Rhinolophus ferrumequinum: one gene and its partners. The protein of the gene in region 3 interacts with the protein of the main gene of each other region in a biochemical or structural test. Links are inferred from orthologs where the notes say so. Each region holds a gene or a part of one and is shown on either strand. Other genes may lie near its edges. The genes, in order: FGF4, FGF8, FGFR1 and NCAM1.

Region 1 (6,780 bases), on a different chromosome or scaffold from region 3:
AGAAATGTGGCTGTGGCTGATCCAAAAAAGGAAAACGGGAGTTTTTAAAGTTGTCTAAAGGTCTCTCCCATCTGGTAGATGGAGGAAGATTGACTACAGCAAAGTTCAAAGGTCAGTCTTGGCAGATCTAAAAACGGAGTGGCAGCGGACTCGACAGCGCACTTTCTGTACCCGAAGTAAACCGATATGCCCCAATTAATAGCAACAGGGCACAAAGGGAGTGGGGCGCTGGAGGGTGCGAGGAGAGGACTCGCCTGGGAGCTGCCTTAGCGGCTGCCAAAGCCCCAAGAGGGCCTTTCCCGGCACAGGGGAGCTCCCTGACAAACGTATGGGTCGGTGGTGCAAAGCAGGCAGAAGTCACTGGCTTTTAAAACACAGAGTAGCAGCACACTTGTGACAACTTTCTGACAAGTTAAATAAATCCAATGGATTTATTCCAATGGAATAAATCCACTGTTTTACCAGAAGTCAGGGGGTATATATATATACACATATATACATATATATAGTTTGTTTCTACTTTTTTGTCTTTTTTTCAGAAAAAATACAAAACACACCCACAGAACCATAAATAATTTGGTGGCAATATATACATATTTAAATAATTAATTTAAATATCTTACACCGACTCTTGCATCAAACTGTCCATAGATAGAGGTGCACCAAGGTGGCCCTGGGCGCTCCCCTCTGAGAGCTGCCGGAGGCTGAGGGAAGGCTCCAGAGGTCACAGCCTGGGGAGGAAGTGGGTGACCTTCATGGTGGGGGACACTCGGTTCCCCTTCTTGGTCTTCCCGTTCTTGCTCAGGGCAATAAACATGCCGGGGTACCTGTAGCACTCATAGGCGTTGTAGTTGTTGGGGAGGAGTATTTCCTTGAACTTGCACTCGTCGGTGAAGAAAGGCTGGGAGGAAGGAGGAACAGTGTTAGGCCGGACCTCCTCCTGGCCCAGGGACGCTGGGAGCCATGGCCAGGGGCCCCTTTGTGTCCCAGCCCGGCTTGGGCGGACAGCTCAGGAGCCAAGACCCTCCTAGGGTGAGGAGAGGGACATGGCCAGCCCACAGCAGGTGGTGCTCCAACCACCCGCCCAACACCTGGCAGCCAGAGAATTTCCGCTCCACTGTGTCCACCTTCCAGGCTGCAGTCCTGCCCGCTGGGACACGCCCCGGGGGCTCAGAGAAAGGCTCCCGATGGCACCTTGTGAGGGGCTAGGAGGCACCCAGGAGGGAGGGCACAAACCTCGTAGTTCCTGTCTTGGGGCTGCACCCCTTGTGTAGGCTGCTGGCCCTTGTCACAGGCATTTGGCGAGACGGGGTGGGGGTGAGGGGGCTCCCCCAATCCTGTGACCCGGGCCCCAGCCTCAGTGCCGTGGGCCTGGAGGGGTCAGGATCCTGCCCGCGTTCCTCAGTGGGTGCTCTGCCGGGCCCTGTGACACTCACCGAGCCGTACAGCTTGCCCTTGTTGCTCATGGCCACGAAAAACCGACTGGCCACGCCGAAGATGCTCACCACGCCCCGCTCCACCGGCGAGAGTTCCAGCAGGCCTGGGGGAGGGGCACGGGTCATTCCGGGGCAGGGGACCCTGGGTCCGTGCCTCCCGTTCCAGCCCCCTCCTCGGCCTGCGCGCCTTCGGGACCCCCATTTCTGGAGTGGGTATAAATGGCCCGAGCTCCCTAGCGCAGGCCACCCCCAAGGAAACCCCAGAGCACAGCGTGCGCGGGCGCCGACTCCCTCTCCTCTGGTCCAGACCCCGCGGCGGCCGCGCCCAGTCCCGGACCGCAGGATCAAAGCTGGCCCGGCGGCCCCCGAGTCCGGCCGGAACCTGGGCTTGAGTCCCGGGCCCCCGCGGGTGCCAGTGGCTGCGCCGCGCGCCCTGTGCCTACGGGCGAAGGCGCTGGAATTCGGCATCCGGAGCCCTAACTTCCGAAGGCGGGGAGGCGGGGCTCGGCCGCCGGGGTGCGCAAAGCCTGTCCCTGCGGTGCCGCCCAGAGCGAGGAGTGTTTGCGTCCCCGCATCCCCGCGCCAGAGGGACCGGAACCCCAGTTCGCCCGGGTTCCCAGAGCCCGCGAGCAGGTGTCAGCCCGAGGCCTCCGTGTGCGTTTGGGCGAATTGGCAGGGGCGGCCGCTGCCGGGGCCCCCAGCCCTTCCCGCCTGGCCCGCCCCACTCACTGTCGCTCGTGTCCGCGTGCACGCCGCCGATGCGGCCGTCGCGGAGCACCTGAAGGTGGAAGCCGATACCCACGTTGCAGTAGAGACGCCGCAGCCGTTTGATGCCCAGCAGGTAGTCGCCCGCGCCGCTCTGGACGGCCGCCTCTTTGGGCTGAGCGGCCACCGGCAGACGCGCCAGCGATCGCGCCACCAGGCTCTCCCAGCGGCGCTCCAGCTCGGCCTCCAGCGTGCCGTTGGGTGCGGTGGGCGCGGCGGCGCCCCCACGGCCGACCCAAGGCGCCAGAACCGCCAGCAGGACCGCCGGGAGCAGCGCCGCCGCGGCCGCCCCGGGCCCCGCCATCCCCGCCCTCGGGCCGTGCGTCCGTCAGGCGGTCTGTGCGCCCGGGCAGCCGGGGGCCGAGCTGCTCCTGTGGCGGTCCGCGGGAGCACACGGCCTGGGCCGGAGCAGGGAGTGCGTGGCCGAGGGTGGAGCGGGAGGCGAGCGACGGGGCCCCCAGGTGCCCGGAGCTACCGGGGCTGCATGGAGCGGCGGGCAGCCGTGAGGGACGCACGGCGAGGATGAGACCCTGCGAAGCGGTGCGCGCCTCCTTGCGCGCTGGGCCAGCCCCAGGCCGGGCCGCTATATATAGCCGGGCGCCCCCTCCTACTCCTGCGGGGGGCCGTTCGCGTTCGCCTGGGCGCCCGGGGCGCTGTGGCGCTCGCGGCTGGTCGCAGGCCGCCTGCCAATCAGGACTGGGGGAGGGGAGGCGTCCGGGGACGAGTGCCGCGAGTGCCACCTGGAGGGTCCTGGCCCCCACCCCTGGCTTGGCCCGGCCTACGGACCTGTTTGTCCCGCCCCTTGCGTCTCCTCCACGCCTGCCTTCAGCCAAAGTTTTGCCTCTTTCACTTTGTCCCTGCCTGTCCCTTCTCTGTCTCTCCCCTTCGCCGCCGCCTCTGCTTGAGCAGCCTGGGTGCCGCCCTAACCGGGCACCCTCAGCTCCGAGCAGCCGGTCTTTGCGCCCTGCCTCTCAGGGACTCTCAGGAACCTGGTTCTTTTTCTTAGGCCATGCGGGCAGCCTGGGAATGACAGGTAGGACAGGACAGTAAGTAACACGAGGGCAAGCCCGGGAAGGAAGAACCCAGGGCGGTGGGCTGGAGGGAGGCAAGGCCCTGGGCTCTGCGTCCTGCACTCCAGGTGATTCAGAGATGGAGTTCTGTAAGCCAGGTGGAGGCATCACCTCGGCTGGGGACCTCGGGTGGGTGCTGCTAAGGGAAGGTAGTTGGGGGTGCACCCCAAATGCTTGTACCCCGCCCCCCCACCACACACCTCCATGCAAGGACAGGCGATAGGGCACAGGGCCATAGTGGACGTTCACTGCCCCTCTCCCCTTTGATTCTTCAGCAGGCACAGTCAAGTCCTTTAACCAGAGCTCCCAATGTGGCAGGGACCCAGGCCAGGCCCCTAGGAATACTCCCCTCTCCCCCACACTGTCCCCATCGGCACTGTGCCCATTATGGCCTGATGGGGGCGGGACTGGCCAGAGGCCCAGCTAGGTGCTGGCTCACCTAGGTGTGAAAATCCCTGTTCTCTGCTGTCCCTGAGGAGCCTTGCAGGCCCTCCCAGCAGGCCCCGCCCAACCACAACAGCAGGGGCCTTGGAGCCCACCTCAACCCCTGCTGCCACCGACACCCGTGACCATTTCAGCGTCCCCCACCTCCCACCCAGTTCCTGCCTGAGGTGCTCTTGGACGCAACCTCTGAACCCAGGAGCGGACTTGGGAGGTTTGAGATCTCTGTCCTAAGGCCCAGAGTGGGGGAGGTCCTCAGGGGTCAGTGAGTGGATTTGACACGACCAGAACCCAGTCTCCAGACTCCTCCATGAGCTTTGTGCTCCCCTCTGGGCCTGCAGCCCTCATGAATAGCACCCACCCAAGCCAGGGCCTTCCTGGGCTGTAGGCTGTGGGCTCACGGCTGCTGCCGGGACACTGGGACGCTGGGCCACCCCCAATGGATGTGCGGATCTGGTACCAAGAAGACAATTCTGGCCAGGGTTCAAACTCAGGAGACCTAGAACTTGCCCATTGGTTTCCGTGTGGCCCTGGCAAATCCTTTCCATCTCTGGGCCCCTGACTCCCCATTCACAGAACAGCATGCAAGGTGGGCTGCCCCACTTCAGTCCAGGTCTAGGGGGGCACCTCTCGTGGGGAGTTGGGACCTAGAGCCTCTGATGCTTTCCGCAGCTCCTGGCAGAGGGTGGCTCCTGTCTTCCCAGGACCCCCACAGGGACCCCCCTCCCTGTGTCTCCTATTTGCTGGTAAGTTCAGTGAAGGACCTCAGCAGCTGGTTTATCTCCCAGAACCTTCACCCACCCGCACACAGTAGGTGCTCTTGGTGACTCTCCTTGGAAGGGCTTACAGCTGGCAAGGGTGTTAGGAGCTGGGAATTCTGGGTCTCACTAACCTGAGATCCATTTCGCACTTCACCACGACTCACCACGGGTTCCTGAGCCCGTCCTGACTTCTGCAGACCTCGGCCTCCTCAACCGTCCAGTGCAGCCAGCAAAGCCCAGTGAGGGTTAATCCAGCGACTACAGGTGAAGGATGCAACAGGTAGCACACAGTGTTTCTGAACCCCTCGCCGAGGCCCCTCCTCTACCTATGTCCCCTTGGCGGCTGCACACCAGCCACACTCCCCTTCTGTCCTTCCTTCCGACCTTCTGGCTGGAAGGCGCTTCCTCAGTGTTCTCCCCAGGCAGATCTCCCCTCAATTAGCAGCTACTTGGGGAGACCGCCCGTGTGCCCCACGCCCGCCAAGGCAGCCTCCTCCCAGCCGTCCCTCTGGACAACCTCCTTCTTCACCGGCCTATACTTGCTGACCCTCCACCCCTTCAGACTGTCCGTCCATGGAGCAAGTGCAGGCCTGTCTCGTTCCCAGCCGTATCCCCCCGTGCCTTCAGCAGTGCCTGACACACGGGAGGCTGAGGCTCAGTAGGTGTCTGTGAGTACTTGGCTGCCTGGCTAAGGGCAGCCCCTCCGATGCCAGGTGCAGTGCCAGTGCCAGCCCCTCACGCTGCCCGGGACGACAGTAGGTGCCTGCAGGCACCTCGGATCCAGCTGCCAGTTCCCCACCAGAAGCTCCACACTGTTTTTTTTTGTGTTTTTTTTTTCCCTTTTATTTGAAAGGAACAGTTGGACCAAGGTGACTAATTTTTCCAGATCTGCTCTCTTGAATACTTGAAATAGGCCCTGTTGCGCCCCAGAGAGCTCGGTTTACCAAGAACCTGGGCAACAGGGGAAGCCTGCAGGCCGCGGGACAGCCCTGGGCTGTGGTCTCCTGCAGTGGGTTCCCATCCAGGCCCTGTCCCGTCAGCCACATGCCATGAAGCTATCTCACCTCTGATCAGGCTCAGTTTCTCCATCTATAAAATGGGCACCACAGCAATTACTCTTAGGGGTTGATGGCAACCTTAACTCGACCAGGGTCAGCCCTTTAGATGGCAAGCCCTTTGGGGGTGGTGCAGACAGGGCCTTGCTAATGGCATTTGTGAAATACACAAACCCATGTTTTTATACGTAGGCAGAACAAGGGCTCAAACTGAAGCTGACCGGTCTGGGATCTACATACCCTCCTGGTTGTGACCTTTCTGAACCTACAAAGAAAAGCCACAACGTCCTATCTTCACACGTACAGTTTCTTCTCCCATAAAGGAGTGACAGGGCTTCCCAGAACCACCAACCCAGCTGTGAAGGACTTATTTGGCTTAATAGTAATAATAATAATAAAAAAGTACTCCATAAAACTTCACTTGTAGTCCTCAGGGCGGAATGACAGAAGGGAGCCTGGGGCAGGGTTCCCATGAGGAAATTTGCAAATGCCTGAACTGCCTTCTCTCCTTAACTTCCTTTTCTTGTCTTCTGAGAGAAGACCCTCACAATAGAGTCTTTCTGCAACGTCAAGAAGGGTAACGCCATGGGTATAGATGCATTTACGGAGCCAAAGCACCCTAAGAAACAGTTTGTGTGGGGTTTTTTTTTTTTTACACCTTTTTCTTCAGAACGCCCAAAGAAAGGATTCGGGCAATGTTTTGTAGCTTTTTATGTGTGTGTGGTAAAATACACATAACATAACTTTTGCCATTTAACCATCTATCTTTAAGTGTATGGTTCAGTGGCATTAAGTACCTTCATATTTCTGTGCAACCATCCCCACCGTCCATCTGCAGAACTTTCTCATCTTCCCAGACTGAAACTGTCCCCATTAAATAACGCCCCACCTCCTCCCCCAGTCCCTGGCACTCGCCATTCTACTTTCTGCCTCTAGGAATTTGTCTACTCTAGGAAACTTATATAAGTGTAATCACGCACTATTTGTCCTTTTGGGACTAGAGTCTTTCACTCAGCATAATGTCCTCCAGGTCCATCCATGGTGTAGCACGTGCCACCATTTCTGTCCTTTTTAAGGCTGAGTGATATTCCATAGTATGCATAGTGCACATTTTGCTTATCTGTTCACCTGTCAATGGGCACTCATGTTGCTTCCACATTTTGGCTGTTGTGAATTATGCTGTTATGGACACAGACGTGCACATGTATCTCCAAAGCCCCACTTTCAGTTCTTTTGGGTCTATACCCAGAAG
Region 2 (7,612 bases), on a different chromosome or scaffold from region 3:
GGCAGGAAGGGACCAAGATGTCTGAGAAGCCTCCTATACGTGGTAAGGAGAGAAGTGACACCAAACCTCTGGTGTCTGAAGACGAGATCCCCCATGGCCCGTTTAGCCTCTTCTTCCCTCCCCAAAACCCAAGGATCTGGACCATTTGCTCTAATGGAGCAAACCCAGAAGAAGCCAGGCATTCATTCCCTTTCCTTGGAAGCTGAGAAGGGCAGCTAGCAGCCAGTTTGGAGGGACAAAGGGACGGTAGGCTGGCCCTGCCAGCCCAGCGGGGAAGCTGGGCCACCGGGCTGGCCCTCCCCACCCCCACTGCCAAGAGCCCCCACTCTCCTTCCTGGAAGGATCTGGGGAGCTCGGGCCACAGTTTACAGCGGCTTTCTCGACTGGGCTTTTGGAAAGCTTAACATTTTCAAACCTATTCTTCCACCCAGTGACAGATTTATCCCAGGAAAATTATGTCTCCTTCTCCAGCTTTGAAGGGAAGTCAGCTACGTCGACGCAGAAAAAATGCAGCGAGACATACTCGATCCCCCAAACTGGCTCGAGAAGAGGAGAAAGTATTCAGGAAATGTTAAAAAAGGTGAAAGTAAGAAGAGTTTTAATCGCTCTGCCAGACGCGGGGGTCTCTCCAGAGATTCATAGAGAACAATCTTGAACCTCTTTTTTAACATTTACAGACTTGCAACTCTTTTCAAACTCACATCTGAAAAAAGGCTCGTTCTTTTTCTGTTTTATATCATTCTTCATTTTTCTTCTTAGCTCTTAAAATGCCTCACCTTTTTATTACATTTTAATAGAGTCTTCCCCTCTCCTTTCATGCTTGTTTAACTTGGTCATTATTTAAAGGTTTTTAAACTCACAATAATCACTCTCTAAAAACAACACCAGCCGCCCAGAGGGCTTGCTTTTCTCTTGGTACATCCAGGACTCTAGAAATTGGCCTTGTTTCAAGGCAGGAATATTGAATGTTTTAGAAATCAATCAGTCCCCAGCCTCTCCACCCCGCAGTAGCTCCCTATACTCACCACCCCAAGGGGAGCTGGGAGCCCTGCTCTGACAGACCTCGTAGGTTCCTGGGTAAGTGGAGCAGGGAGGGCCCCTTTCCAAGCCTAGTCCCCATGTGTAATTGACCCTTCTGATCAAAGTATTTAAAGGTTCACAGCAACCCCCCCCAAGCTACGAGAGTTGGGGGGACTTCTCTCCCTTCTCTTTCCCACTCTGCTTTTGTGGGCCCTGGCGACATATCCTCTTTCAAGAGCTTCCCTTAAACCTGGGCCTCCTCCCCCTGAACCCTCTGCTTCCACCTGCAGCTGGGGAGAGGTGTATGAAAGGGGGAGGTGTAAGGGGAAATTCCTGGATTCATTCATCTGCTGGGCAGGGAAGGGGCACCTGTGGGGCAAGTACTCCCTGAGGTCCCTTCCCCAGGCCTCTCTTCTCCAGCTGACCCCCAAAATTCTTTTTTGCCTTACTTAACTCCTTGCCTTCTGAGCTGGGGAGGCTGCAGGCCCCTGGCCCACACAGATGGGGCTGGTGAGTCCAGTCACATCAAGCCAGGGAGGGGAAGAGGGCATGTCCCACAAGCTACCTTTACCCTACCCACAGTGCGGCTTGCCTTACCGAAAGGGTCCCCGTCTTCTGCCATGGCGTTGATGCGCTTGTTGGCCAGGACCTGCACGTGCTTCCCGCTGGTGCGGCTGTAGAGCTGGTAGGTCCGGATGAGGCGGCGGCTGAGCTGATCCGTCACCAGGCTCTGCTCCCTCACATGCTGTGTAAAATTAGGTGAGGACTGAACAGTTACCTTTAGGAAATTGAAAAATACACAACACGCCATTATAATGTTACTCTGCCCAGGGGCCCAGAGTGGCCCCCTTCACCCTGCACCTCCCTCCACTGCCCCAGGCAGCTGGCAGGGGCTGGGGGTCCCCCCAACATGCCAGCTCAGGCCACCACCCCCACCCAGGAAAGTCGGGCAGACCCAGCCTAGTATGGATGAGCCCCGGGATGGGGAAGGATCTGGACCCACCTGTTGGGAAACACCCTGGGACTCGCGGCCAGCTCGGAACAGGGAAGCCAGCTCCCTGCCCAGCGTAGGCCCCCCGCCCGGGCCTTCCTAGAAGAGCAGGGCGCTTTTAAGTAGGGAGGCAGCGCTGCCTGACCCCTGACATTTATAAAGACAAATTTACGGAGCAAATGTTGAGTGCGCTGAAGGCCTAGGCACCTGATCTTTCGGCCAGACCCGCCACAAGCCTCCCCCTAGAGCCGCGGAGAGGGTCCCTGTGGCAGTCACCCCGACTTCTGACAACGAATGCCAGGACTGCCCCCTTCCTCGGCGGCCAGGTGTGGCTGCCCATGATGGTATTCTCCATCCATCCCAACCTGGCTAGGATGCGTGGGAGACAGCACTGGATTCCCAGACTTTGGGTTCTAGCCTCGCCACTCACTGGCTGTGTGACCTTGGGCAGGGAACTACCTCTCTGTTCCTTAGCTTCCAACTCAGGGTAGCTCGGAATTGGATTTCTAAGGTTCCTTCCAGCCCTGCCGCGCTGGCCACAGGGTCGGTCCTCGCGCCCCTGCCTGACCTGGCCAACCCGCGTCCCCCGCTGGCCCCGGCCCCCGCCTCCGTGTAGTGCGCCTTACCTGGGCTTGGAGGCAGAGAACCAGCAAGTGCAACAGCCTGTGGGAGACAAAAGCGGGCGGGAGAGAGAGGGGCGCGGGGTGAGCGAGGGGCGCGGCGCGCAGCCAGCGGGGACGGGGCGGTGGTACTCACAGGCAGCTCAGGGCCGAGCGGGGGCTGCCCATGGCGCGCGGCCGGGGGAGCGCAGGGAGCCCCGGCGGGATCACGCCGGCCCGCGAGCGGCCGCGGACGCACGAGCCGAGGGCGGCGGCGAGCGAGGACGGCTCGAGGGCGGGAGCCTAGCGGCGATGCCGACGCGGCTCCGCGGGTCCCGTGGAAGGTCGAGCTGGCCGCGCCGCGCCGAGTCGCTCAACGCAGCTGCCGGAGCCGGTGGCCGCTGGCTGCTCAGGATCCGGAGCAGGCGGAGGGTAACGGGCCGGCAGGGTGGGTGGGTAGGTGGGAAGGGAGGGGGAGGGGTGGGGGCGGGGGGCGCCGCACCGGGCGCGAGGGGGGAGCGCGGGGCGGGCGGCCGGAGCCCGCAGCCCCCGGCTGGGAGCTGGGGCCCGGACGCAGCCCGGGGCGGGGGCGGGGCGGCCGGGGCGGGGCGGCCGGCGGGTCTGGGATTGGGGGTCTGGGCTAGGGGAGGGGTCTGGGGACCCGCCGGAGGGGCGGGGGCGGCCGGGTGGGCGCCTCCCCCATCCCTGCCCGGTCCCCTCGCGCGCTCTTAGGGTCTGGACACGCGGGGATGGGGGGCGCCTCGGGCCGCTTGCTCCATGGAGTCCCGAGACCCTTGTCAGGGGCTTGCTGGACCACCGGTGGTGCGCCCGAGTCCGAAAGTGCCAGGGCTCCACCGTGGGGCCGGGTCCACTCACGCCTCAGGCTACACGGCGGGTCTCTGAGCCACCTACTGTGCGCTCCCGCTGGGCCTGCCCCCGGGAAGTGGCCGCTGACACTGGACTGAACGGCTGTACACTCGGCTCTCCAGCAGTGAGTGCATGTGCGACGGGGACCCGACTCCCCGTCTTTCTGCTGAGTACTCCGCCTTGCGGGTTTCTCCTATCTTGCTCAGTCTCCAAAAAGGCCTTCTCCTCCTCCCGCCCCATTATCACCATCACCCCGTCCCTGAATTCCCCCCCCCATTATCACCATCACTCCCGCCTCTGACTCCCCCATACTCATTCACACACGTGCGTGCGCTGATCTGAAACTTGGGAGGAACAACGGAACAACGACCCACCTCTGTGAGAGAGCCCCGAGGTCGCTGGCAAGGACGCGCAGTCCCTATTGCCCCCCCCAAAGCAACAGGCAGATGGGGCAAAATAACTGCTCTCAGCTGCTTTTCCTGGGGAAGAAACTCGGACCCAGGCCACTAGTCGTTCCCTCTAGAGTCCCATTATTTGTGCTCTTAACAGGTATTTACACACACACCTACTGTGTACTGGACCAGGACTGATGCTTTGTGTCAGCTGGGGTGGAGGAAGAGCCAAAGGAGGAGGTAGGGACTTGTCTAAGCCTTTCCCAGCCCCTCATTCCTTTCCTCCAGGCGCTGCTGGAAACCCTGAGCCATAGTGCTTCTTTGGGAGCAGCCTGGGTGGGCAGAGGTGCCCTGGTACTTCTGAGGAGCAGGTGGAGCCACTGATGCCCCGGCCCAGCTTCTGCCTTCACCGGACTTCCCCTGCCTCACTGCCCCCTCCGCCCCAATCATGTCTCTGGCCGTTGGGCTGAAGGGAATGGAAGGTCCCAGGAAGCCATTAGACCAGAGGCAGCAGACAGGCCCTCATCCAGCAGCACAGCCAAGTTCTACCTACCTCGCCTTTCTCTGTGCCCCACCTCTCCCCACTTCCAGTCGTAAGGCTAATACTGAGCAATGTACAAATGGGAAAACAGAATTAGAAGACTTGTTCCAAGATCTCATCTTTTCTCAGAGTAGACTTCCTGAGCCTACCTATTATCCCCTCAAGAGTCTTTTCACTCAGCTGGCTCTTACCCACACAGACCTCCAGGCAAGGACCATGTCTTACGAGCTCAGAATATGCAGCTCATGGCACAGAGCTGGGCAGGGTTGTTCTGCAGTTAGTATTCAATGAATGAGTGATGGGGAAAGTGGCTGAGCATTTAGACCTCAGCACATGTGCCACTCCCCCCAGGGAGACTTGCCTTTACCCCCTTGCCTCAACAGATAATAATCATAAGCACCACCATTTATTGAGCACTGTATTTGCTAAAGGCTGGGCTTGCACCATCTCCTTTCAACGCCACTGGGAGGTGGGTCCATTAGAGGGGGAGACAGGTGAGGTGGGCTCCAGTGCCTAAAGCCCCAACCAGCCCTTTTCCTTTATTTTACTTCTCTGTCTTAGAGGCCTACAGGCTGGCTACCTGTTGAGTGTCTACCTCCCCAGCTGCACTGCTACAAGCAGGCAGGATGCTCACCAACTTCACCTCATGCCTGCACATAGTAGGTCCTTGAAAAAGTTTATTTGCATGCATTAACACTTGATGAGTGGAGAGATGGAGAACAGAGGATGGGACGGGCCTTCTCCCCACCAGGGACCTAGCCCTCTGAAAAGTCTCAGAAAGCGTGGAGCAGGACCCAGGCAGGGGTCAGGGCATTCGGTCCCTCCTTAGTGTGCACAGTCCAAAGTCTCTCTGGGCACCTGCCCTTCCCTGGAGTGGTGGTAGAAGCCAGAGCACCTGGCTCAGACCAGGGTTCAACCTGGGTTCTGGAGTCCCCAGAAGGTTCTGAAGGCCCTGGGCTGAACTTCAATGATGTTAACCCACTGTCCTCTCTCTTCCCCAGAGATGGGCCTCCTGGGGCCTAAAATCATGGAAGCCAGGGTTTCAGTCTTACACCTAAACCTTGTCTTTACAGGACCAAAGTTCCAGTACATTTGGAGAATTTCCCCTAAACTGGATCCTGGATAATTTGGGGGAATTATTCTCATCTCCCCAAAAGTCCATGTCTATAGAGAGGGGCAGATGGGGACACACCCGCATCAGGCCAGGGGGTACTGCCGGGCACCCCTGTGAGTGACAGATGCAAATATTCCTTTGGGGCCCCAGCAGGCCTCTCTCTCCTTCCCTCGCTCGCTTGCTCGCCTCCTGGCCAGCTCTCTCCTTCCTTTATCTTATCAAAGCCCCGTAATTACAATTGCTATTTTGTTTCCTCGAATCTGCAATCAGAGCTCCCTGGCCCTGATGAGGGAGCGCCTGTCAACCTGATCGCTGAGTGACAGCCAGGCCACCTTTCCCGGCCGCCCCCACACTCTGCAAACACAAATACACACACATACACACACACACACAAACTCGCCTCCCGCAAACACAAACACACGCTCCTCGCCAACACAAACAGCCTCTCCGCAAACACGCCCTCGCCGGTACCCAAACACACAACTTCAGCCTCTTTCCAAACGTATCCCTCACCCCCTGGCCCACCCCGGGCCCCTCAAATCCACACCAGCCGGCGCAGGCCGCTGGGACTGCCGTTCGATCCACCTCGCGCCTCCTGTTCTCGGCGTTCAAAGCGCCGCGCACTCTTCGCGACCGTTCAAATGCAAATCGTCGAGACAGCCTTAAGCACTTCGAGCCCTCGTCTGGGAGTCGTCCCTCTTCGTCCCTCAAATACAGGCCCGTCTTTCCTCCAACGGTCTGCACACAAAGGCGTACACCTTCACCCCTCAGCGCACATCAGCGCTCCTACTGTGCGCGATGGGGCAGAAATGGGGATCGAGGAGAAACTGGAGCTAGGAGGGAGAAAAAACAATTCCCAGCTCTGTCCGTGGGGCGCCCGGTGGGGCTGGAAAACTCCTGGACGAAGGGGCAGATGTGGATTGGGCCCCCACTGCGGGCAGGAGCGCGCTCGGCGCCAGCCCGGGCCGCGGGAGACCCACAAAGACTACAATCAAGGCACACAATGAGCCATCAGTGGCGTCGCGGGGGGTAAATATTGGGGCGGGCCATGCGCAGGGGGTAGCTGGATCAGCTTTCCCCAAGAGAAGACTTTTGCTGCACCCAGCGGGTCTCGCGCGCCTCCAACCTCTCACGTACCGAGGACTTTGGAGGCCATAGGTGAGAGGAGGAAGGGAAGCGCTCTATCAGAGGAGCCCTTCCAGTGAATGATGAATGAATGAATTAATGAAGTCAGCCTTAGTAACTTATTCCCTCTCCTTCAGCCTGAACTTCGGCGGCCCCGACCACTTGCTGGGCACGTGGGCTCCTGCATGCCTAGAGCCACTAGAGACGAGCCGTGGGGTAGCGGCACGGCCACGGGCGGTTTCAACCTCGTCCACCAGAGGGCGCCAGCCCCCCTTCTCTTCCCAGCAGACCCAGTGCTGCCGGGAGATGAATGGTCTCAAGCCTGACTGCCCCCTCCACCCTGGTTCCCGGTGGCAGCACTTCAGTAAAGTCCTCCTGGAGAGTAGAAAGGGACCTGAGACCCTGATCACCGCAACACACAAAGGGATCATTTCCTTTATCCTCAACTTATGGAAAAAGGGGATTAAAAACTGGACCTTTGCTCTTCACGACAGGGAAGGGGGAACCTCCTCTAGGGATGTGTGTTGAAGAGGGAGTGCTTTTCCTTGTTGTGGGGACATTCTATCTAAAGTTTACCTCACCTACCCCAATACCAGCCCCTTTGGGTTATCTAGGGACCCCTCCCACTTGCTCACTCATTTGCCCAGCAGCCAGTGTGGGAGGGAGTGGGCCTGGCCCCACCAGGCACTGTTCTCTGTCCATCCTCAGCATGTCTGGCCCCAGGCTGTCTCAGGAGGTAACCTATTATTTGTTTGTTTGTTTGTGGGGCATTGAGCCCCCCCATCAACACAGCTGCTGAACTGCTGACCCCGAAGTTGGTCACATACACACTCATGCTCACGCCAGGTATATCCCTTTTTCTTCCTGGCATAGTAGCAGCCAAGTCCCAGAACCAGATGATTCCAGGCACCAGAGACCCCCAGACCAGGCAGTGTGCGGGGAGCAGGAACCCCTTAACCCAGG
Region 3 (7,188 bases):
CTCCCTCAGGAGGGATGGGACAATAGCATCTGAGAGGTTCCTTCTTTCTACCAGTGCTTTTGCTTCACGTGCTATTCTTCTAAGGGTGCATAACGGAACTTTCTAACATCCTCCATGGCCAAAGGCCAAGATAAAGAAGCACCCAAGACTGTCTGCTTGAGAACTAAAGGAAGTAGCGCCCACTCTGGCCCAAATCCCATTTGTGAAAATGCCTCCAAGATGGGCATTTCCACAAGCATGATAAAAGCAGGACGTGAAAGCACCCATGTCCAAGTGGCTATCCATCCGGATGGATGGCCCTTATTAAAAAGCTGACACTCAGCTATGACTAAGAGTAAGGCAACAGATATTTCAAGAAGCTCGTCACTGATGCAGTACACAACCATCCCAACTGGAGCCAGGCCGGAGCAGCCTCCCTGTCCCCAAACACACGGCGCTCCACCCAGGTCAGCGGCAGCCCTGGAGCTTCTCCCAATCAAGTGGGGCAAATATGTAAACAAGTCATTAGGGAAGCAGGCCAACAGGGCAGACGGTCGGCAATGGCTCTCCCTCTTGCCCTCGGTCACTGAAGGGAAAGGAGATGACCCAGGCTTCGAGGTAATTAGCCAGACCGAGGCACGTCCCACGAGGCTCTGCTACTTAGCTTTTCAACAAGCCTCAGGGAGCCTGGGCCAACGGGGGAAAATGGCCACTTTCTGCTAAACAGTCTCAAGGCTAAGGTTCTACAATTTAGATGGTATTCCAAAAAAAGCTCTGGTCCGGAGGTGCAAAGGGCAGGGCACATCTGCGGAGGAAACAGTCACCTTAATTACCATGTCTAGAGAAAGTGCGATTTCATTACAGCCTCCAAAACTACCGCCCAAAAGAGGAAACCAGAGAAGTGTTTTCAATTTGAAAGAGACTGGAAAGGAGAGGGTGAGAGAGACCAACTCTCCCCACCCTCCCGCGACTTTGGACCACAAGGTGCTCTCCTACCTCAAAGGACATTCCAAAAAAAAAAAAAACAACACACACACATACAAAAAACCCTCAACAATCCAACCCCCGCTTTCAAAACTGTCGCCGTTATTTAAATGGTAAAATGTCTCACTTTAGTTTCCGGGGGCTGCAGCCCATTTAACTCCTTAAAAACGCACAAGGAGCGCCTCTGGCAGCCACAGCCCTCGCCCCCCGCCCCCGCCCCGTCCCCGGCCGCTGCGCCGGGGGCTGGCTCCTGGGAGGGTGGAACAGGGACGCGCAACGCCACCGCCGGACTGCCCGAGACCCGACGGCTGGCTCTGGACAGGGTCAGACTTTTCCAGGGCTCCAACTACAACTGAAGGGAGAAGAAGCAATACTTGGATTCCAGAAACTTCCGTCAGGGCCAGTTCTGGGTCAGACCCTTGACCAAAAAATCCACCTCCTGCAGATGAACCGTTCACAAGTGCCACCCCCTAAAACCTTCCACACAATCGAGAAAGCACCACCACCACGAGATTCTAAATAACTTGCGATCCAGGGTAACTTTTTTCTCCACAAATCCCAACTCCACATCTCCAAATCGTCAGAAATTTTAAGGAGATGGAAAGGACAAGTTGAAGAAGTCCAGTTTTAATTTGGGGAAGGGGGAAGGGAGGAAGAATGATGTTAATAACGTGGCTGCGGTGTACCCGTGTGGGGTGAAACGGAACCAGATGCGGATGCTACGTGTGGAAAATGGGGGGTGGGGGACGTGTTGGGGGAGAAAGACACCGCAGAAATTTTTAAATAGGCTAATAGCTTCTGGGCCCAGAAAGAAGGAGGATTCACCCTCCCCACACACATACACGTATACCACCACCACCACCACCACCAAAGGTGTCTGGGCTGCCTTCACAGGCTACGTGTTAAATGAACTCCATCTACAACGTCAATAAATTTCTCCGCAAATGAGTGCTCTAGCCCCTCTTCTCCCAACCTCAAACATGACGGAAGGAGGGGGCGAGAGGCAGAGGGGTCTGGGCCAGAGAAGCAACATGCATCGCTGCCGAGTACACCGCACCGGACAAAACCCTCCATCCCTTCCCCCACCTCCTAGAAAAAGACTGAAACTGAACGTTCCCCTCCCCCGACCCCTTCGCGGGCCTTAACATCACCCACTGGGCGCCCTCACCATCTCCAAACTTCCAACCCTTTCGGAGATGAACTAAGAAGATAAGCCCCCTCTGGAAATGGGAATTCCTTTCTCGCTCTCATCTAAAGCGGATTCAGCCATTTGGTGACGACATACGAGTTAAAACCTATTCCGAGAGAAGCTAACCTACCCCTCCACTCCCTTCCCTCTTCATGCCCCAACCCACCCTCAACACGACCCCAGACTTTCCTCAGGTGGAAAAAGACTTAGAAGTACCCCGGATTTTCAGCGTTCCACCCAAAGCTACCTGCTGAATTGGGGTGAATCCCTGCGAGTGGACTAAAAAGAGATGGAGTGTAACGCAACACACACACACACCCCAGCTCGCTGCCCACTCCCGCCCTCCTCCCCAGTATTAGGACACCGAGGGCCGCCGCCGCCTTCGCCCCGGCCATGTCCCTCCCCGGACTCACCACGGAGTCGCCGCCGCCTCGCCAGCTCCCCAGCGCGAGTTGGCGGAAAAGTTGGTCGGCAGGAGAGCGGCGGGACGAGCGCGGGCAGGGGGCGCAGAAGGCGATGCGAGCGGAGGGAGGGGAGACAAAAGGGGGGCGCAGAGCGCTGGGGAGGGAGTTGGAAGATGGAGGGGGGCGGGTAACCGGCGGAGGGAGGCGCCGTCCCGACCCGGCTGCGGCGGGGTAAGCGCGCAGCCAGGAGGCTCCAGCGCCGGGGGCCGCTCGGGACGCCAAGTCCGCCCCGGATCTGGGGGCGCCGCGGCTCTTACCTCACTGGGCGCTGCGGTTCCGCCTGTGGAGAGTCCAGCGGTGGCTAGTGCGGGCAGGCGCCCGCGTTCCCGACTCCGGCCCCCGCCGCCGGGCTCCTGGCGGGGCCGCGAGAGCCCCGCGGCCGGCCCTCGACTCCCGGGGGCGCTCGGCGCCCGGCGCCTTCAGTCCGGGCGGGAACAATGGAGCCGAAGCTGGTGCCCCAGAGGCGGGGCGGGGGGGAGGGCTCCCGTCCACCGCCCGGGTCTCCAGACCCTGTGGCCCCCCCTCTCCAGATCCGGCGGCGGGCGCCTCACGCTTCTCGCAGCCCGGGCTCCATCGCCCTGCGGCGGCCCCGGCGCCGCGGCGTGCCCGACTGCAGTCCTGGTACCGCGCGCCCTGCGGAGCGCCCCTCGGACCGGAGAAAAGTCCGCGGTCTCCTCTGCTTCTCCAGCTGTGGCGAGCGATCGCGGCGGGGGAAGGCGAGGTCGCCGCAATGCGCTAAGCAGAGTCTCGGTCCTGTCCGGACGTTGCCGCCCAGCTCCGGGCACAGCCCGGGCTCCTCCGCGCGCTGCGGCTGGACCGGAGTTCGGCTCCCGCTCGCTGCCGCCCGCTGCTAGCCGTCACACCAGTGCCCGCAGGAGCGCTCCGAGCGCTTGTGCGCCGGCGAGGCGCGAGGGCTCCCTCTCCCACTCCCACCCCGCGCTAGTCCCACCTCCTCCTCCTCCCCATGCAGCTGCCTGCTGGCCTTGTAGTTCCTGAGCCTTGGCCCCCGAGAAGCGGGGAGCGGGCTGAGCTACCTGGCACTCTGCTGCTCTTCGCTTGCAGCCTGGACTGCATCTGAGGGCGTGTCCCCCGCCCCCATCTGAGCATCGCCTGGAGGGCGCCCAAATGCAGGCCCTGGGCAGATGAGCAGTATTGGGGGTGAGGTGAGAAGACGCTGTCGCCCTGAGGTTCTACGTGGAGGCGAGAGCTTTGAAGTCTGACTAACTGTATGCCTGAGGGAAGTGATTTTCTTGCTCTACATCTCAGTTTTCTCATCTGTCAAAGGGGGATAATAGTACTTTCCCTATAGAGTTGAGGATTAAATGGACTAGACGAGGGCCTGGCATACTCAATAATGCAAGCTATTTTTATTCATGAGAATAAAAGGGTCCCCACCTCAGATCCTTTCCTTCCATCCCACTTTCCCCAGCCACATAGTTTAGGTTTTGTGGTCCATGGGAAGCTAGGTCCTGTCAATTCTACAGCGCCATTCTTGGCCTCCAGAAGTCTCCAGGCTGCCATGAATGTTTCTGAAGCAAAGAGTGAGTGGGGGGAGTTGAGGGGTGGTGTTGGTTTGAAAATGAATCAGAGACCACCCAGAGTACACTCCAGTACTCTATGGAACCGGAGGGAAAGTGGCTAAAATGCCCTTTCCTTTGGATCCTTCCACAGAGTGGTAGAATTTAATGGTTCCCTAATCCAAATGGGCATGAGTCCTCTGGGGAACTTTGGAAAAATACAAATTGTTGCACCTGCTCAGACTTGAGGAATTAGGTCGTCCCAGGAAGGAGCAAAGAGTTTGTATTTTTTCTACAGATCCCATGGTGCCAGATTGGAGAACACCGGTAGGGTGAGAAATATGTCACATTAGGTATGAAAGATACCTTCATTCTGTCCCCTACTTATGGGCTGTTTAATTTTGGACCAGGCATGCATCTGCAAAGACATCAAGACTTATTTACATATTATCCCCAGTTGATTGGGACTCCCTTACTGTCACCAACACAGTGTCATTCACATAGTAGGAGCTCAGTAAATGTTATTTGACTGACCAAAGAGTAAATATTCAGTAAATATTTATTGAAAAAGTAAATAAATTTAAAACTAAATAAAAAGCAGGAACTCACATATTTGTGGACTACATGAACTTCTGCCATTGTTTATAGGCTATAAGCTATCTCCCCACCCTTCCACCCTTCAGTTCCTCATCAGGCTCTTTTTTTAAAATAAATTTTATTGGGGAACAGTGTTGTTTCTCCAGGGCACATCAGCTCCAAGTCATTGTCCTTCAATCTAGTTGTGGAGGGCACAGCTCAGCTCCAAGTCCAGTCACCGTTTTTGTCAATCTTTAGTTGCAGGGGCATAGCCCATCGTCCCATGGAGGAATTGAACGGGAACCCGTGTTGTTGAGAGCTCATGTTCTAACCAACTGAACCATCCAGCCACCCCTTATCAGGCTCTTTTTAAATCCTCCCATATAGGCTGCCCACCCATGCAGCCTTCTTCATTTTAAATAATTCTCATTCCAGGCCTTTAAGAAGGCAAAACTCAAGCCCCTCTCCCTTGGAGAGGCCTTCCCTGCCAATCCCAGCCATGTTGATCCTTGGAACCCCTACTGACCGTCTGGTATGATACTTAACATAACTTTGTTAGTTGTCTTTTTTACTCTTTCTCTCTAACTAGCTCCTAAACTGTATCAGGGCAAAGATTCCATCTCTGTATGTGACCTAGCTCAGGACTACTCAGGAGGCGTTTTATATATTTTTGTTGTTGGCAGACTTCATGGTGACCAGAGGAGGAAATACAATTTAAGGGAATATGAGTTGGGCACACAAGCTATGGAAAACCCAGCATTTATGTTAATACCCAACCACTATTTTCCTACTTTATTACTAAAAGACATTATATCACCATTCCTCTCTAAGATTCTTCTAAGCCAGGGTTTTGTTTTTGTTTTTGTTTTTTAAGGAGGGCGAAGCTCACAGTGGCCCATGCGGGGATCGAACTGGCAATGTTGATGTTATCAGCACCACTCTCTAACCAACTGAGCTAACTGGCCACCCCATAAACCAGGGGTTTTTAATCTAGCCCTTTTTCTTTTGATTTGGAAGCATTTTAGGAGTATCTTGAATACAAAAGAGGAGGCTGAAGAATGTGCCCTTGATTTAAACAGAAAGAGAATGATCTAAATGCTTGTCTGTTTGATGTTAAGTAGCCTAGATCCGATGCTGAACAAATTTCTCTACAGATTAGCAAGAAACCGAAATGAAAGCAAGTGTCCAGCTTGATAGCTCTCCCTCCCCCAGCTCTCAGGGAAACACCCAAAGACAGTGGAATGGAAAAGGTGAGAAACCCTGAGAACGTATGGGCCATTCACACAGACCACAGGCACGGCTCCTGAATAATTGAGAGCTGCCCTGCTTTTATCCTTCCGGTCTGCTCTCCTTCCATGCTGCTCCTCCCCCTCCTCTTTCTGAAATGCAGACCCTTCACTTCGGGATAGGCTCTAGGCCAGTGGAGAGAGAGTATCCCCAGGGTGGCCCTGACCAGCTCCAGGCAAAGGAGGTCAGACAATCGCTCTCTGCCTGCCTCTGTCCTGCTCTGAGGCCTCCTGGCACCTTGCCTCCCCACACAGAAACGTAATCTTCCCTCTGAGATAACAAAGAGCTGGGAGGGTCAGGGAGGATTTGTAGGCCCCTTGCCCTGCCAGCTAGACGTCTGAGGGGGAGACAAAGGCCCTCACGCTGGAGGACCTGATAACTAGTTGGGAACCTGTTGCCTCCCAGATCTGTGGAAGGAGGGGACCGGTGCTGAATGAAACAGAGTAAACAGAGCTCTCCCCAAAGCCCGATCAGTTCTCTTTGTTTGGGAACACTGCACAAAAACTTTTCCCTTTTCCTTCAGCTATTTGTGTCCTCAGAGTTCTTCCACAGAGAAGGGAGCTCCTCCTCTCCTAGTGTTCCCCTGCTCCAACTGAGTTTAGCTATTTCAGGGCCCTGCGGTTCCCACCCCCTACACTGGGTTGGTACTACACAGTTAACACCTGCCTGTTACAGAAGTGGCAGGAGGCAAGCGACATCTACCCTGGGGCGAGGCTGGGCCATAGAGCTGCTCAGGCTGGCTTCGGGCTTCGGGAGTCCCTGAGACTGGTGGGAACCGGCAGGGGCTCAGTTTTTGAGGCCTGGTTGCAGGAAGGGATTCAGGAGGAGGGAACCGTCTGGGTTTTTCCCTTACAAAGTGGATGTTCACAGGTCCCTAGGAACAGGTGGGCAGCCAAGCCTTTTGCCCCAGGGCCCCTGGAGTTAAGTAGCAGCAGTCAGTTACCATCTGGCTGCCATTTGGTGACCCCTGGCTGTTCTCAGCACAGTTTCAGCGTATCAGGGAAGGGAGGATCTTGTTTGGCTTGGTGTTTTTGTAAATAACATTTCACTCTGTCCTACCAACTGGGAGTGGGAAAGGGAGCTCGGCAGCAGTGGCAGCTAAGCTTGTCTGGCCCTAATGCAACATTCATTCACTGAGCATTGGGGAGGAGGGTGACACATTCCACTCATGTGTCAGGCACTGTGCTAGGCA
Region 4 (7,117 bases), on a different chromosome or scaffold from region 3:
AATCAATTTTCTATAAAACATCCAAAACTGCTGTTAGAAAAGACTCATATTTGCTATATAATTCCACTTTTCGTTTTATTCCTAAAGAGCAGAAGACACCAAAATAAGAGAGGGGCAGCAAATCTAATTCGTTGGGTTTACTAAGGTTGGCACTCCTTATATCTAAATTTTCAAAAGCACCGAGTGGAGAGAGACAAAACTTCCACTGTCCCTAAAGACATATAACATGAAGCCAAAAGTGTGTGTGTGTGTCTGTGTGTGTGTGTGTGTGTGTGTGTGTTATTGTTCTTATTTCGTCCTGACCCTTTGACTGGAATTCTTAATTTTTTTTTTTTTAACTATGGTAGAAACAAGAAGTATTTCTCTTTGGAAAACCTGCTCAACTTCTTTCTTTTGTTAAGCAACCTTGTATGTGTTTCACGTTCTGCCTTCTTTCCATCCTCATAGTACTAGTCCGGAATGAGGACACTTTCCTCCCAGGAACATGGATCAGAATGCCACCCTGGTCTTGGCAGCTGCGAACATCTCAACCTGGGATTCCCTGGACTGGGCGTGTACCTACGCAACTCCCTGGGGATCCAAACACTGAGGGTTACACCCATCCTGTAATGAAAAGGACAGTCCCTAAAGGCTTACCAAAGGCTCCATTGTCACGCCCCAACCTAAAGGGGAGGAGGCCAGAGAAACACACTCCCCCCAACCCCCGACGGGAGGTCGCACAGCGGAGACTCATGGGCACGACGGAAAAGGGTACGTCGCGGGTAGCCACCGGCCAGGTGGCGTGGGGGACCCAGCAACCAATGGACTGGGGTTGGCCTCCTGCTGGGGGCCCCGCAGCCCCAGCCAAGGCCCCGCCTCCATCCCGCCCCGCCCCCAGCTTCGCCCCCTACCCGCGGCCCGCTGGTCAGCGCACGCGCGTCGGTGTGCCCTGCCACTGCGCCCTCCAAGGCGACGCGCTCCGGCCAGGACGACGCGGCTCGAATGTGGGCGCTGGAGGGGGCGGGAGGAATGCTTCAAGTCTGCGTGAAAGAGGCGCGTGTGGAAGAACACCTCCCGTTGACCAACTAGACTCCATTTTATTTCCTCGGAAACCGAGGGACAGGCGGGATACCAGCCGCAGGGCAGGGTTCCTCCCGGCGGGGAGCGAGCGAGACCGTTAGGCTGGAACACCAGGAGAGGGTCCTGGAAGCTCTGGGCCGCCACCCGCCCCGCAATAAAAGCCTCTCGCGGCTTCCCGCCCAGCCAGCCTCACTCTGATTGGTCGCCATGGGAGGGACTGGAGTCGGCTGGAGGCGGCGGCGGAGCGCAGCTCTTGTGCCTCCCGGGGAGGGGGTGTGCTGGGTGCTCCCATGCCCGCCCCGCGCGCTCCCCCAGCCAGGCTCGGCTGTCTAGGGCAGTTCCAGCGGCACCTGGCAGCGGCGATAGCGACACAGCCCCCTCCCCCCGGCTTTCCTTCGGCGCTTCCCAGCACAAGCCCCCCGCCCAGAATGTCCGCCCACCCCACCCAGCTTTCTGCAGCCGGGGCTCCTTTTCCTCCTCCTTCTTGTCCAACAGCGCCAAAGCGCAAATCCTGCAGTGGGGTGGGGGAAGTAGCTGGAGGGGTGGGTGGGCACGCACAAGAATCTTCCAGGGAGGCCGGGATGGAAACACCCAGAATGAAATGAACCTCCCTCCCGTCCGCGAAGGTTCTCTGGGCGGCGGCGCATCCCCCGCCACCCGTGGCAGCATCACTACTGTCTTCCTCCCAGCTCCCTATTGTTCGCACTTTGCAAGGATCAGGAACCTCGCCCAAAGAAAGGAGACTGGGGCGAAGCATTTCGGGTGGCTACCTGCCATTCTCTCACACCGTGCAACAGCGGGCTCTCGGTGCGTGTGAAGGCACACGCGCGCACACACGCGCGCACACACACTAGGCAGCCTGGATCACGCCCTCCTCGCCCTCCGCCCCTCGGCACTTCCTCCTGTCAAAACGCGGCGCCCGACCCTCCCATCCCTCCGAGCTCCGAGAGCAGGCTTTGTAACTAACCAGCAATTTGGCAAATGAAAAACTAACGTCATATCGACGGGTGTGCAACAACGGCCACAGAGCCCTGAGATTCTGCCCATGTCGCCCCATTTTGCAAACCGTTATTCGGCGGGAGGGGGGGCGCGAAGGTGGCGAGCCCCACTTTATTAGACCCAGGGAAATAACGATCCGGGGCGGCTGCCCAGGCCTTATTGTTCACTCTTCCCGGAGCCCGAGCTGACAAGCCCCTACCCAGCGGAATCCGAGCCTGTGCAGCGGCACCACTGAGCCGCGGCAGCCCCCCACCCCGCCGCCCGCCGCCCGCCTTCGGGGAAGGAGCGCTACCCATCAGCCGCACGGCCGCAGCGTCCCAGGGAGTAGGCTGCTCTGCTCTCAGCGCCATGGGCACACAAAGTGGGAAGGGCGGACGCACTAGAGGGGCGTCGGGCGCTCTGAGCGCTGGGAGGCAGCTTCGGTCCAGCGCAGCCCGGGAGGGCGCGGGATTCGGCCGGGCAGCAAAGGCAACGCTCTCCTTACTCAGCTCCACGAAAATGACCACCCTTAGTATTCTACAGAAAACCACCCCAAATAACAGTGTTCCTCGGGGAAGGAGTAGGAGGGAGAAGGCAATTAGCAAATCAGACTGAAAAGAATAATTTTTTAAATGTACCTGCAGTTCCCAGGAAAAACAAAGTCCAGATGAGATCCTTAGTTTGCAGCATTGTAATCTGCTGGCTGGGAGGGATGTTCTTGCCGCGGTAAATTCTGTGCCCCTCCCTTGCAAGCGAGTGTGGACGGCGGCAGAGCAACAGACCTAGGGGCAGACAATTGCCAGGCTGAGTATGATTATTTTTGCAGAATTGTTTCCTGCCAGCGGCTGCCGAGCTGCGTTCACGCGCTGAACGGAGAATGAGTGACAGTCCCAGCCTCAGCACACTCACAACTCAGAGATCCTTGCGCTGGCCCGGGTTCGCTTTGATGGAACTGGGGATGGGAGCGGGGGGCGGGGGTGGGGGTGAGAACCTCACTGTGTCCTTCCACCACGCCGGCCACAAATAGTGCCGAACATCAAGGAGGTAAGGGAGACAGGGGAGGCAGATGCGGCCGCCTGCAAAATGCGGCCTGGAGCTGCCTGCCGGAGGAAGCGGGCTCTTTCACACGCAGTTTTCCAGGCAGAGCTGGGATTTCTTTTTTTTCACACTTCTCCCCCACGCCTCCGCGGTTCCTCCTGCCATCCAGCTTTCCCCTAATTTGGAATCTGGATATTTTAATAACTAGCAAATAATAAAAACAATCATAGGTTTGGTTAGGTTTTCAAAGTTGTTGAATCTCTCCTTTTAGATGCTAAGATCCTTGAATCAAGGAAAAGGCTAAGAATTAATTTTAAGTGCAGGAAATTAGGAATTTGGAGAGGGATAGGGATTGCTGTTGTGGGGTTCTATTTTGGGTTTGTTTGTTTGTTTGTTTGTTTATACTGCCTATGAAGTTTGCTCTCCCACGGAGAGGTAACAGATCTCAAGGGAAAGAGGTGGGAGGCAACTTAAGTTAGAAGAAAAGGCAGATATTTAGAAGGAATTTCCAGAAATAAGGGAAGGAAAATGTTTTCTTGTTTATAAATACTGAAATCTGTGGTCTCTTTATGAAGATCACCAAGCCTTTTATGTAGGTTTTATGGTATAGGCGCGATGCTAAATAACATTTTCTTACAAGGGCACATAACCTCAATTCTTAAAAATATTAATGTAGAATATCATTGAGGTACCAACACAAAGGGTTTCAATTAATCTCACAGCTGTATTTTAAATAGAAGAGGGCGCGGGAGCAGGGTGAAAATAAACATGTTTCAACACCTGAGCAAAGCTTGTTTAAGAAACAAAAGGTGAAGGAGAATCAGGAGCTCCAAGTGTTCCAGAAGCTGGAACAGCCTATTAGCCTAGCACAGTGAAACCCAGAGGAAGGCTGCCCATGTTCCAAGCACCAACGCACCTACATTACCTTATACTCACTTTCTCTCTAAAGGTCAGGCTCTCCCCTGCTGAACCACCTTAAAATCCCACCCTCTGCTGGCAGGCCAGGAAGCCTCCTTTACTGGAGAGGCTGGGATCTTCTCCCCATGTACTAGACCAAGCAGGCCACACCAACATGCTGTGACTGAGGACTTCCTTCCGGGACCCCTGAAAAGTACTTCCTCCTGACAATCAATCTTTCACAAGGTTTACTTTTGTAATATTTATCTCATACCAATGATAAATAATTCATAAATACAGAAAAATAGAAAGTTGGAACAAAATTACCAAATCCTATAGATTCTAGAGATACCCACATATTTTCTCAGTCTTCTGTTTGTGCATGTGATTTTTATAATTGACATAGTGTAGTAACAATTTGAATCCTGTTTATTTTCACTGACATTTCATTATAATAAGCATTTCCCCAGGCTGTTAAAAAGGTTTTAGAAATCCTTTTATAGTTATGTAATATTTCTTCATATCAATGGTAATGGTCCTCCATTGTTGGATATTTAGATTGTTTCCAGAGTTTGATAATATAATTAATGATTTTGGAACATCTTTCAATAAATATTTTTTGAACACCACTGTGTTTAGCCCTGTGCTGGGTACAGTGGGTTATACAGACCTTTTTTTTAATGGCTGCTGTATTTAAGCATTTTTGGCTTCAGTCATGAGCTTTTGCTAACATGTAAAATTATCATATTAAGCTTTACAAACTTATGTAGATAAACGTATTAGGCTCTTTCCTAAAGAAGAGGTTTTGGCAGCAGAGAAAAATGGAGAGAACAGGCTTGAAGGGCAAGGGAAAAAGTGAATGTTTGGATACCCAAAATAAAATGTTTCTAACTTTTCAAGAGTGACAGACCTATCTTCCTCTGCAAACCTCCATCTTTATTGCTCATGTCAGTAGAATTAAAAAATTCCTCCCTATTTTTCTCCCCAATGTCCCTATTTTTAGCTTTTCAGTGTAGGCAGGTATGGAAATCCTATCTCACTTCAGCATGAATGAATTTATTCCCTCTCTCTCTCTCTCTCTCTCTCTCTCTCTCTCTCTCTCTGTATCTCTCTCTCCTGCCCCCCACCCCCAGCCCCTCTGTGCCCTGTGTGGCTGTTGATCTCTGTTGTAATGACTCATTCTAGAATTCTACCCACAGTCATTCCAGTCCGCACTCTGTGCATCTCTCCCATGTTCTTTTAACAGGCTCCATCATTTGTCTCTAATTCATCAGCTCTCCACTTGTCAAGGCCCACATCTGTGAGCTCTGCTTGTCAGTCCCATCTCAAACCTCAACTTTGAAATGGGACACAACACGGTGGCCTTCTCCAGGCCTCTCTCCGCAGAGGAAGTCCCAGGCTATCAGTGCACTACAGGCTATAGATGCACTAATGAGCATCTGCAGTGCGAACACTGACGGAGAGGAAGGAGCCGCTCACAACTGTGTTTCAGAGAGCTTCCTTTGTAGAGCAGAAATTGGCTCTGAAGACAACCACAGCAAGGAGACTAGCAAGGAGGTCATGACAGTATTCTGGGGTGGCAGGTCGTCACTACAGCAGTGGCAATGAGAAAGGAAGCCAACGAGAGCACAGATTTTAGAAATATTTCCAAAGCAAAAACAGCATAACTTCGGAACTTTCTGAAGGTTGGGATCTAAAGCGGAGGAAGAAATCAAAGCTCCTTTCAACTCATTCAACAAATACTTATTAAATTAAGTATCAACTAAGTGCCTGGCACTGCTCTAGACACTGGGAATATAGCAGTAAACAAAATCGAATCTTTGTCTTCATGGGTTTCCATTCTTATGAGGAAGATAGAAAAATATCTAGTATGCAGATGGTGATATGTGCTAAGGAGAGCCCTAGGATAGGGAGTCTGGGGTGAGGTAGGATTAGCACTTCGCTTAGGGATTAGCCAGAGAAGACCTCTCTGATATTGGGGATATCTGACAAAGATCTAGAGAAAATAATGAGTACAGAGCTTCTAATGTGGACAATTGGAAAGCTGCTGGTGACATTGACAGGAAGTTGAAGAGGAAGGACAGACCTGGACACGATGATAAGCGAAGGAGCAACGACATCAACTCTGGATATATTAATTCTGAGATGTTAGAGGGACATCCAAGTGGAGATGTGCAGAAGACAGACAGTCAGATAGAGGGGACCCCAGAGAACATCAATGTTTAAGCTGCAGGCAGAAAGAATTGCCCAAGAAATAGTGAAAATGCAGTCAGAGAAATAGAAAAAGAATTGAAACATTATAATGACCAAATCTAAATGAGAAGAAAGTTTTGAAGTGGTCAAATAAGAGGACAATTTACAAGTTTCCTGGATTTGACTATTGGAAAGTCATTAGTGGTCTATAAGAGGGCAGCTTTCGTCCACTGTTGAGGGGGGAAGACCTCACCACCCCAGGAACAAAAAGGTGGCTTGGCCAAGAAAGAGAAGCAGAGGGTTTAGACCACTCTTTTGAGGAGCAGCATGATAATGACAGAGTAATGTGATAATAACAAGCACAAGGATAATTATAACAAGGAAGACAAGCTTGAGGGGGAAGGAGGCTTGACGGGCTTTTTCTCCTCTTTTAATATGAGGATTAAGTGAGGATTGTACTCTTACTCTATAAAGTAAATTAAATCAGGGCTAAACCCCACTCACCACCCACTTAGGGTCTAACTTAGACTACTTGGAAAATGAACTTAGTCTAAAGTACCCCCACTGTCAGCCCCACTTTTTCCCATTTAGGCTTTCTTTCTTGTTGGTGTTGAAAAGGAGACCCCAGGCCTAATCCCAGAGCTCACAGATCTCCCGGGAAATTTATTTCACTTTTGACCGGGGCAAAATGCATTCTGGGAAACATAGCAGATTAAGATCAAAGCAAGAGACAGTGACCTGGAACTAAGAGAGACTGGGGATACAGAGGCATGCCCAAAGAACTGAGCGTGATCCAGGAACGTGTTAGAGCCAGAAGGTAATATCAAGGCCACAGACCTAAAGAGTGGACTTCTCTAGGGAGCCCTCAGAGCTCCCTCCCAGTCTCTCATATCCCAGATCTGGTTGACACAAGAAATAAATGGTAAGTTCTACTGTGTGGTGGGGATGGGGA

The links.
Region 1: the proteins of FGFR1 (region 3) and FGF4 form a complex in vitro, tested with the Homo sapiens proteins (2 studies listed by BioGRID and IntAct, with this or other methods). The link is inferred for Rhinolophus ferrumequinum from reciprocal best matches to the Homo sapiens genes FGFR1 and FGF4.
Region 2: the proteins of FGFR1 (region 3) and FGF8 interact in a biophysical measurement, tested with the Homo sapiens proteins (2 studies listed by BioGRID and IntAct, with this or other methods). The link is inferred for Rhinolophus ferrumequinum from reciprocal best matches to the Homo sapiens genes FGFR1 and FGF8.
Region 4: the proteins of FGFR1 (region 3) and NCAM1 form a complex in vitro, tested with the Homo sapiens proteins (2 studies listed by BioGRID and IntAct). The link is inferred for Rhinolophus ferrumequinum from reciprocal best matches to the Homo sapiens genes FGFR1 and NCAM1.

Annotation. Positions count from the first base shown.
Region 1 is NC_046294.1:3,405,487-3,412,266, reverse strand, and holds FGF4 (fibroblast growth factor 4), read right to left. Parts: upstream 2,815-6,780; 5' UTR 2,506-2,814; coding exon 2,166-2,505; intron 1,541-2,165; coding exon 1,437-1,540; intron 902-1,436; coding exon 725-901; 3' UTR 508-724; downstream 1-507. UniProt on the Homo sapiens protein: Plays an important role in the regulation of embryonic development, cell proliferation, and cell differentiation. Required for normal limb and cardiac valve development during embryogenesis.
Region 2 is NC_046299.1:23,075,467-23,083,078, reverse strand, and holds the start of FGF8 (fibroblast growth factor 8), read right to left. Parts: upstream 3,018-7,612; 5' UTR 2,800-3,017; coding exon 2,768-2,799; intron 2,675-2,767; coding exon 2,638-2,674; intron 2,111-2,637; coding exon 2,024-2,110; intron 1,799-2,023; coding exon 1,618-1,798; intron 1-1,617. UniProt on the Homo sapiens protein: Plays an important role in the regulation of embryonic development, cell proliferation, cell differentiation and cell migration. Required for normal brain, eye, ear and limb development during embryogenesis.
Region 3 is NC_046287.1:61,188,462-61,195,649, reverse strand, and holds the start of FGFR1 (fibroblast growth factor receptor 1), read right to left. Parts: upstream 3,013-7,188; 5' UTR 2,874-3,012; intron 2,706-2,873; exon of another isoform or gene 2,566-2,705; intron 1-2,565. UniProt on the Homo sapiens protein: Tyrosine-protein kinase that acts as a cell-surface receptor for fibroblast growth factors and plays an essential role in the regulation of embryonic development, cell proliferation, differentiation and migration.
Region 4 is NC_046294.1:82,580,339-82,587,455, reverse strand, and holds the start of NCAM1 (neural cell adhesion molecule 1), read right to left. Parts: upstream 3,016-7,117; 5' UTR 2,728-3,015; coding exon 2,676-2,727; intron 1-2,675.